Drosophila melanogaster: one gene and its partner. The protein of the gene in region 2 purifies or fractionates together with the protein of the main gene of each other region. This does not show direct contact. Each region holds a gene or a part of one and is shown on either strand. Other genes may lie near its edges.

Region 1 (4,804 bases), on a different chromosome or scaffold from region 2:
ATTCATGTTCTGTGCGCACATTTCATTCATTTTTCAAATACTTCTGCAGCACCAACTGTCAGATACATTTCTGGTTTCCTTTGCCGCACGTCTTTTTATTGTGGCTGCTTGCAGTGTGAATGTCCTTTGCTGTCCTCACAAAGGACACGCAAAAGCCAAATAAGAGCGAAAAAAGTAGAAAAAAACGCAAAGAGCGGAATGCAGAAGAACGAAGAGAGACTTGCAGCAGCTTCGAGTGCAGAAAACCCAACTATGAAGAACTTGTCTGCGGATCGTGAACTTAAGAACTATCTAAGAGGAGAAAAGGCCGGCTGCATTTTGTTGTTTGTGCAGATGTTTCTTCGAGGTTCCTCGAGGGATTTTATGGGTATGCGTTGCGTATGGGACAGGTCAGTGTTCGGAGGATTCGGATTCAGATTGAGATTCGGTTCCGGAGGATTCGAAGTCGGTTAAGGGTTGTGCCCCTAGGTTGAATGATTTTCCATTACGCAATGCAAATAGACAGCAGCGTTCCGCGTACTCGCTTTGTTTTGTTATTTTCTCTGTCAGCGCCAGGCAACAATGCAACTGTCAAGGTTTCCATTTTCCGCCGTGGATTGCTCTCTATGAAATGGCGAAAAAATGGCAGCTCCACTAATAGTTGGCATGAAACGAGGTTGCAACAGGACCGCCACGAGAAAAAAGTGAAATGAAATCAACCGCCCCCGCTCTTTGCGCAAAAGTAAAAAAGGGGCAAAACATGGCAGGCAAATTGTACCAAAATCCCGCAACGGCAGCCAGTGCAATGCCAGGATATATGGCACATGCCCACAAGGTCCTGCCTCCGTGTCCTGCGTCCAGCGCAGCAGTGGCAGCAACAGCACCGCAGCAACGTCCACGGCACCGCAGCAACAGCAGCGGGAAAGTAAAACTTATTCGGCTGGTCGAACTGCGAATGCCCTGAATTTCGAAACACATTTTGCGAGCTTATCTATTCTGATAAAATTGTAAATAAATCAATAAACTATACGCCAATTACCATATAATGCATGCTTGAATTCAATGTGCTTAATTGCTAAGTAAGCTAAGTAAGCTCCTTGGTTAGGGTATCAAAACAAAGGCAGCAGAAAATATCTCGTAGCGCACATAGATTGCAAGTTCGCATTGTGAGCGCGAAACTAGGGAAAAAAATTTTTAATTGGAACAACAACTGTACAGCGGCGCAGCAGCAGCAACAACAACAAAAGCGCACTTCAAACGCCGCATGTTCGTATCCGTGTCTTGTTGCAGCTGTGTGTGTGTGTGTGTGTGCTTGTGTGTTAATGAAAGAGAGAGGATGCAGCCGTAAATGTAACTGTGTGCGTGCGGCTGTGTGTTTGTGTGTGTGTGCCAGGACTCTCGAGCCAAAAGTTGCAGGCGCAACAGCAACAAGCAGCAGTTCGAAGTTAAATATTTAAGAATTTACAAAACTTTTTAGGGAACATAAAAATAAATACAAATTTCAAAACGAAAGAATCTTGCTCTTCATCTTTTAATGATGGTCAAACTGAAAAATAATATATTTTACGAATGACTAATAAGCACAAAAATAAATTAAAAATCATTTCTTAAAAATGCTTAAGTATTGAATGAATTATACAATATAAAACCGCTAGTTAAGAGAATTCGGTCGTCATGCTTGTTGTATTCTTAAGTTCGAGTGGAGCCCGCATTGGTTCGATGCGAACATGAACCTGTTCGCTTCGAGCACGAACTTGTTCGATACATTTTATGTTTGCTCCTTCATTTTCATTTTCATTTTCAGTTCAGTTAGTTCAGTTGTTGTGTATCCTTCGGGTGAAAAGTTTCCTACAAAACACGGACTTTTGCACCGCCGCCGCCGTTCGAGCGCTAGAAACGAGTGCGAGTGCGTGTGAGACTTACTAGCTAACTAACTGATTCTGATTCTGATTTTCGGGAATATACTATCCCTTCGGTGTGGGTGTGATCGAGTTCAAGGACTCGCGACTAACTTGTTCCAGTTTCGAAAACAGGCAGCCCCAAATAATGTGACCAATGTGACCAGTGAATTAGAATATCCAAGAGCAAAACAAAATCAAGAACTCCCGCAGATGCCGCACTTGCAGCTCCAAGTTCTTCAGCTTTTCATCCAAGTCCCGGTTTAATTTGCAGCTCCAGTTTCGCGCTCGGTTCTCTGGGTTTCCCTGCAATTTCCGCGATTTCCTTCTTTTGTTCCCTTCGTTCCGTTTTCGCGTCGCGGTTTGTTATTGTCAACTTTCGTTTTCGTGCGGTTTTTCGCGGCTTTTCTAACGGTCCAACGACGGTCGGCAAATGGATAGTGAAACTGGCTTGGATTTCCAATAGCTTCTAAGTACTCAACATTTTCCGAGGAAAAAAACTCGTGAAAGGACATGGATTAACAACTAAGGTTTGTAGTAGGGATTTAACAATATACATATATTTAAGTATATATAAATCGGGATGCTTTATGTATACCTTTTATCTATATATAACTATTCTGCGTATATAATCATTTTATTTGTGGTACCAAAGAAAATTAAATAAATGGTTTTTTTTTTTCATTAATTAAGCATAGCCATCAAACAAAAAGACAAATAGCCGCATACAGAACATAACTAACTCTTTGAAAACGAATCGTAAGGAACGTTTCCAAGAAACCAAACAGAATGGCCATATCCCTTTCATAAAACCGACTCCAATTAATAAAGCCAATTGAGCAAATGTATAAAAATGTTGAGCTCCAATCAAATATAAAACTCTACGCTTTTGTTCCTAATCCCTCAATTAAACTCACCTCTCGACCGAAAGCCAAAGAAAAACAAATTTCCAATTGAAATTTGCATTTGGGGCACAGGAAATACTTTCCAAGCGTAAACATGTAAACAAAGAGATAACAATTGTTATTGGTCATCCGAGGATCAAATTACAATAAGTGCAAGCTCAAAGAAGACCCAAAAAACAAAATCACAATCACCTAAGCAGGCAATTTCAGCGAGCTTTATTTGTGCAAGACAAATAAACAAAATAAAATAATAATATTACAGTAAAGGCAGAGGCTTCTCTTTTTGGACCGCAAACACTTATGGCAATGAGTAATGACTTTTAAAAGAAGAACTGTTTCTGATAGATACATTTTGCGTTTGTCTTAGCGCCAACTTAAATTAAAAAGCAGCGGGCTCTGAACTTCTTCTGGTTGTGAAGAGTTGAGCCGAGGCCCTGAAAACGTGCCAGAAAGCGACACACAGAGATACAAAGATACAGATACTCGTAACTAACAGTAACGTGCGTACATCTTCAAGATACTTTTTGGCGCGCTCAGAACAGAAGCGCCGAAAACAGAAAATAAAACAAGGAGAGTACATGGGAACGAGAAGCACAACAGAAAGCGAAAAGCTAAGAACACAGAAGGAGATACTTGTGCTCCTACAAGATACAGCTACAGATACAGATACATGGCAATAAAGAGAATTTAAAGAAAGATAAATAATAAAACCAAACAAATTGAGGCGCAGGCCGCGAAAGAAGTTCAAGTTCAGCGAATGTATCTCCGTGCCAGTATCTGTATCTGTTGGATGCAATTTGTCGGCCGCCTGCAAGTTTATTACCGTCTTACCCCCAATGAATCTATATATAGCTGCCATATTTTGTTTACAATTTTCCGCCGCCCACGATTCATTCATAAAACACATCAGCCCAAAATAAAAGTTGGCAAAAGGACACGCAGGCAAATTAAGGCTTTGACCTAGAGAAAAATAAACAACACCCAGGATATAACCCCTGCCCCCGTCCTCCCCCCCTCCACACACTCGTTAACAGTAACGTGCGTGACTTTGAAAGCAGGCAAGGCAAATGACAAACTCGTAAATCTCAACACACTCACGGGAAGTGGGTGGTGCGTTTTTTTTTTTGGGATGTGGGTGAAAATGCGAGGCATAAGTGCCCCTACTCCCATTCATATACGCTTAATACTCAGCCGCGTATGCCTGTCCATGGACTCCTTGCATGGCTTCATTGGGCCCCACAGCACGTTTCATTTCATCCACACCTGCACCGCCGCACCACTCCGCGCACAACCCATCCCCACACCCAAACACCCAAACACCAATACCGCCAAGCTTCGGCACAACTCAATTTGCACGTGACACAACGAGGAACGAGATGTGGAGCAGGCACTGCCAGGCGAATTAACTCGCGTCAGGAATTTAAAGAAAATATCTTTCAGATACTATATATATTTTTAAGCATTCAAGTTCTAAGCTAGAACGAAAAAATGTTATATGAGAGCTTGAAATTAAGTTTTCGTATTAATATTCGCCATCATTTATAATATTGTAATAACTTGCCTTTAAGAAATTCAAACAGAGAACCGACAGAGAATAGTCGCTTAACTAAAAACAATTTTATTGCATTTGATGGCTTGATAAACAGCTTTCACTAAATTGCCTGCGTTCCATAGTATTTGTCTTGACTTTCAAGCTACCTTCCGCACAATATAAACTCGATTAAGTACATCCACCACCTTCGCAAGGAATGCAATTTCAGCCGTCTAGTTCGTATCATTAACATAAAATGAAATAATTTCCCCACCCATTTGCCAGTTTGTGGGGCTTCTTGAAATGCTACCCGGCCGAAATGATGCACCCCACCGAAAGTGGAATGGAATTTTATTCATTAACTTGCTGCGCTGCACATTTGGCAATTGTATAACATGCATAAATATGCAAACTTATTATGGCCCGAAAAATAGTTTCGCAATAGCGCAGTGCTGGGGAAAAATGTTAATAAATATTTAGCCCAACTGCTT
Region 2 (4,821 bases):
TGAGACTAAGAGATTGTTGTTGCTGCTGGTGTGGGTCTCGGCCTTCAGGGATGGCAAATTGGCTGGTGGTCGCCTAGCGGACGGCACTTTGCCCAAGATTTGCATTCCATGTTTACGTGGCACTTGATTCTTTTGTGCAGATGGTTCACTTGACTCGCCCTGCAAACAATAAGAACAAGTTGGCGATCAGATAGGTTTGGATCTATCAAGATCTAGATGTAGATCTAGATCTAGGTCTAGGGGCTCGCTACTTACGCGGCTATTCTTGTACATGCGATTTATATCTAACGCTGTGAATTTGGGCTTGGCATTTCGCTCTCCCCTACTTCCCCCCAGTGTACTCATGCTGCCAATAGATCCTCATTAGCGTTAGCTTCCTTCTCGCCACCGCCGCGCTCCTCGTCTTCCCGCTGCGCTGGAGGATGGGCTAGGATGTGGCTGTGGTTCTTGACGAGAATGAGTTTAAGGAGCTGGGATCGCTTTTGGGCCGAAGCTCCTTGTTTCAGTCTTTCTGGTGGGCTGCAAAATACAAAAGCGTAGATAGGCATTTAATTGAGTATAGGTGCAGGCGTAGCGAGGCGAGGCTAGTCAGTTGCAAGTGGGTGGTGCTCCCGACAAATTGTTTTCAACACGCTGGTTATTGTGTGTCCGGGAACTCCTCTATTTAGCCACCCCCAACCGATCCGCACCACTAACGCTTACAGAGGTGGATCTGTAGCGAAAATTGGTTCTTCTTAGAAAGATATTGCAAATAATTTGGAAAATAACCTCTTCAAACAATAATAGGTATGGGTTTCAACTAAACCGAGTTTTAGTAGAAATGCTTTTGATATTTCATTTCCACTGAAACTAAAGAAGTTTCTTGGTAGTTTTCCAACACATGCTGTTGCGAAATACGTTCAAGTTCTTAATGCTTCGTTAAAGTAACAACTAGAGTGTAATTCCATTCGACTACTACCATTCGAAACTGTTTGTAGAATCATTTGGTATTTTGTTGATATTGCGTTTATTACGAAAACGTTTGGGGCAACTATTTCCCAGTTTCGCTCCCCCCTTTGATCCGACACTGAATGCAGGCAATGTTTGGTGCGAGCAGGACAGCCAGTGCCTCGCAGCACACGCAACTGAGAGGCTGCCTTGGGCGGGTGACAGCGGAAGCGGGACAGCTAGATAGATTTACCCACACACACACACCAGCGCCAGCAGCGGCAGAAGCGGCAACGCATTGAAAGAATTTTTTGCGGTGGCGTCTTGTAATAATTGCGGCAGGGGGCGTGAAGGGGCGGCCGAACAATGGCTGACAACTACAGCAACAATAGAAAAAACGGGGCCAGTAAAATCCTCGCAACAAGAGCGACAACAACAAAGGCCGGCATTTAAAATGTAACCAATTTGACAGATGCAAGTGGGGGGAGTACAAGACAATCTAAACGCTTGGCAACAATTCTATGTCTCCTTTTTGTAATAACAACCATTCACAAGCACAACGCACACTAACACCACGCAGGCACAGGCGCACACATCACGCACACACACACACTTACGTTCGCAGAAACCGAGAGGATTTGATAGTTATTATTTAATCGACGAGTGCAATTTTTTTTTTTGACCACCTTTTGTTTTACAGCCGTATCCTTTTATTAATTTTGCATGGCACAGTGGCTGGCAAAGGCAAACAAAGAGGAGAGACGAGTAAAATATACCGTTTAAACAGCACGCACGCACACAGCAATACACTCGGGGAGTTTCGTTTGTTGGGCAGCGATGATAAACTGAATGGAAAACGCTTGAATTTGTTTACTTCGAATGTTTCGCGGTCTGCTGGCACACTTGGCCGCCTGTATGTTGGTTATTTAACTGTTAACTTCGCGGAAATTGATATCTTTTGATTCTGCTTTTCACCGTCCAACATAAAGTTTGCCGCTAATTCTTCTTCCTCGAGTTCTTCCTCTACCACTTCTCACTTTTCGAATGTATTGCGTGCGTGAGTGGTGTGGAGCGCGGCGTTGCCACCTGGTCCGTTGGGATCCAGCCAGACCGCCGAGTGAAACTAATTCCGGGGGTGGCAGTCGCCTGGCAATTATTAAACAATTAGAGAGCGTGCTATTTAGCGATTAAACGGAAATTAACACGGACTCTATGCATCGATGCCGACAAAAAGAGAAAACGGACCACGATGACCTGCCGACGACAAATGCAACGCTGTTTGCGATATAGAGCGGGACAACATGACTAGCTGAACTTCCCTCCCACTCCCACACGTCGAATTTGACAGAACCGACAAAAATATTTCTTTGATACAATGCGTATTTTCTACAAACAAAATCACAGATTTACAAACCCGCTGTGCAATTAAACATAATTTAGCAAACAAATCTCGGTTCCGGCCTACTTCCAGAGCGAGAGCATGAGAGACCATAGAGCTTACCCTTTCGCACGCAGAGCACACACCGCAAACACAGTTCGTTGCTCCTTGGCTTCTTTCTTTCCTTCGCCTTTTTTTTGCACTCTTTCTGGCGCTTACTCAGCGCCCGTTTCGCCGCTTGTTAAAACACGGGACGAAAACAAAAGAGAGCGCAACCAAGACGAGACGTGCCGCTGCTGCAGTTGTTGTTGTTAGTCGCCTTTGTTCGCCAGAATCTTCGATTTGGTTGAATTTCGATTTCGATTTGGTTGCGATTTTCGCTATGTTGCGCTGGCTTTGTCAGCGCTCTCGCTCCCACTCACTTGCACTGCGCTCTCCCACTCTCCGCTCACTCGCGCCGTCCCTCTCGCGCGCTGTCGCTTTTTTGCAAGTGTAGGTGGAAAATGGTATCGGGTGAGGAGGCTTCGAGTAAACCCGTTTGAATTCGCTTTTTCCACGGGTTTTTGCCTTTCCTTCGCTAGGTTTTAGCTCTGCACACACACTACACACGCACACGAGTTGCGTTTCTTATTTGTTTTGATTATTTGCGTTGCGTTCTTTTCACGTAATACGTAATTGTCCATTAGTTTTAAATCGTATGTATTATTTTTTTGCCATTTTACGGCAAGCGTTGCCAGAGTTGTGTGGGTCGATTGGCGTGCTGCCTGACCGTCCGCAGAATGCCATCGTTTTGATGTGTATCCAGCGATATATTAAGTTTCATATTTTCGATTTTTAATTAATGGATAATCGTTTACAGCGTATTTTGCAGACAATTAAAAACGTAGACCATAAATTGTAAGAGAAATTAAAGAGAAATACTCAACGATCAGGGTGGCCACCCCGCAAAAAACTCCTGAGATGAAGTTTTGCCATTCACAATTGGATTCTGTTATCGATTCACGATAGGTGAATTATGTTGTTTACAACGAAAAACTGTTTAAATTTTTTATTTATTTGACTTTGCGTTGTGGTTCTGTTCGCGCGAAATGATTTGTCGCCTTTGCCTGCGATGTCTTAGTCCCGGAAGCGCTGTCTTCCTCTTTGAGACGGACGATACGCTTGCGGAGACGCGCCTGGTCAAGATGATTGCGAAGTTTCTGCAGCTGGAGGTGAGTGTATCTGGCAAATACCAATGGTATCAAAACAATTCCAATAAGCCATCCCATGCAGATCCTACCAGACGACGGCATCTCGACCAGCGTCTGTACCGAGTGCTGTGAGCATCTGGAGGACTTCAATGGCTTCTGGCAGCTGGTGGAGCAGAAGCAGTGCTCACTCAAGAAGGAGTTCCTTACCGTGGACGTCGACTGTGCGGCCATGAAGTGGACGGGCGGTGTGGACGTGGACGTCAACATCGACGAACTGCCGCTGGCGGCTGGCGACATGGACGAGAAACCGTTGGACCTGCACAACCTTAGTCTGCTGGGAAGCGTGCTGGACGTGAATGTGGACAGTGTGGAAGTCAGGGAACCGATCAAGGAGCAGCTGCCCTGCGAGGAGGAGGAGGACGAGAAGCCCTGCCTGCAAGCTAGTGATAGCGAACCGGAGGTGACCGAGGGGCAGCCGGAATCTGAATCTGACTCCTCAGATGGTTATTATCTTAATGTTTCCCAAGGATTAGCCGTAACTAAGTTCCTGTTCCATTGCAGATGAACCCCTGGTCCGTCTGAAATCGAAAATGAAGCCCAAGCGCAAAACCTCGGCACGTTCCTCCAAGGATCAGGGTCCGATATCGCTGCAGCAGGAGCTTGCAGATCTGCTCGACGATGGTGGCAAGCGTCGGCGCAGGAAGGCACCTGACCAGCGAACAACCACCGAGTCGCAGGAGTCCGAGCTACAGGCCGTTCTCGAGCGCAAGCCCAAGGGCTGCTCCCGTGCTCAGCTGGCCAAGAGCTACGAGAAGGCCATTGCTAGCTACATGAGTGCAAGCTGCGACCTGTGCGAATTTAGTGCTCCCTACCTATCCGAATTGAAGACCCACTTCCTGGAGGTGCACCAGCGCGAGTACTACATCAAGTGCTGCGGCAAAGTCTTTACACGCGCTTCCAAGCTGATGGACCACATCCGCAAACATATCAACCCCAAGCTATTTACGTGAGTTTGAAGCCCGAGGGTTCTGTCTGTTGCTACATAGACTTTAAAATCCCATAGCTGCACCATTTGCAAGAAGTCGCTCAACTCGCAGGACTACTTGGCCACTCATATCGAGACGGTGCACAACAAGGTGGCTCAAATCGGCAAGGTGCTCAAGTTCCCGTGCCCCAAGTGCGAACGCACCTTCAGCAGCGAGCGCCGTATGGCCAATCATCTGGCCAAGCACGACACCGATCAACTGGAGCACACCTGCGAGATCTGCTGCAAAAGGTGAGAATAGAGCAGGGTCTCTGATCGAATTGGAATTCTTGCCCCATATT

Evidence for each region. The genes of interacting proteins can lie anywhere in the genome.
Region 1: the proteins of nocte (region 2) and Tet purify together in Drosophila melanogaster (affinity purification with mass spectrometry, with the first as the bait; one large-scale study listed by BioGRID). This does not show direct contact.

What each region holds. Positions count from the first base shown.
Region 1 is NT_037436.4:2,876,136-2,880,939, reverse strand, and holds the start of Tet (Ten-Eleven translocation (TET) family protein), read left to right. Parts: upstream 1-1,781; 5' UTR 1,782-2,407; intron 2,408-4,804. UniProt on the Drosophila melanogaster protein: Dioxygenase that specifically demethylates DNA methylated on the 6th position of adenine (N(6)-methyladenosine) DNA.
Region 2 is NC_004354.4:10,471,625-10,476,445, forward strand, and holds the start of nocte (no circadian temperature entrainment), read right to left. Parts: upstream 3,052-4,821; 5' UTR 2,429-3,051; exon of another isoform or gene 2,314-2,428; intron 1,964-2,313; exon of another isoform or gene 1,545-1,963; intron 520-1,544; 5' UTR 346-519; coding exon 256-345; intron 160-255; coding exon 1-159. Other genes in the region: CG2889 (uncharacterized protein), read left to right, coding at 3,394-3,516, 3,578-3,998, 4,057-4,501, 4,559-4,771.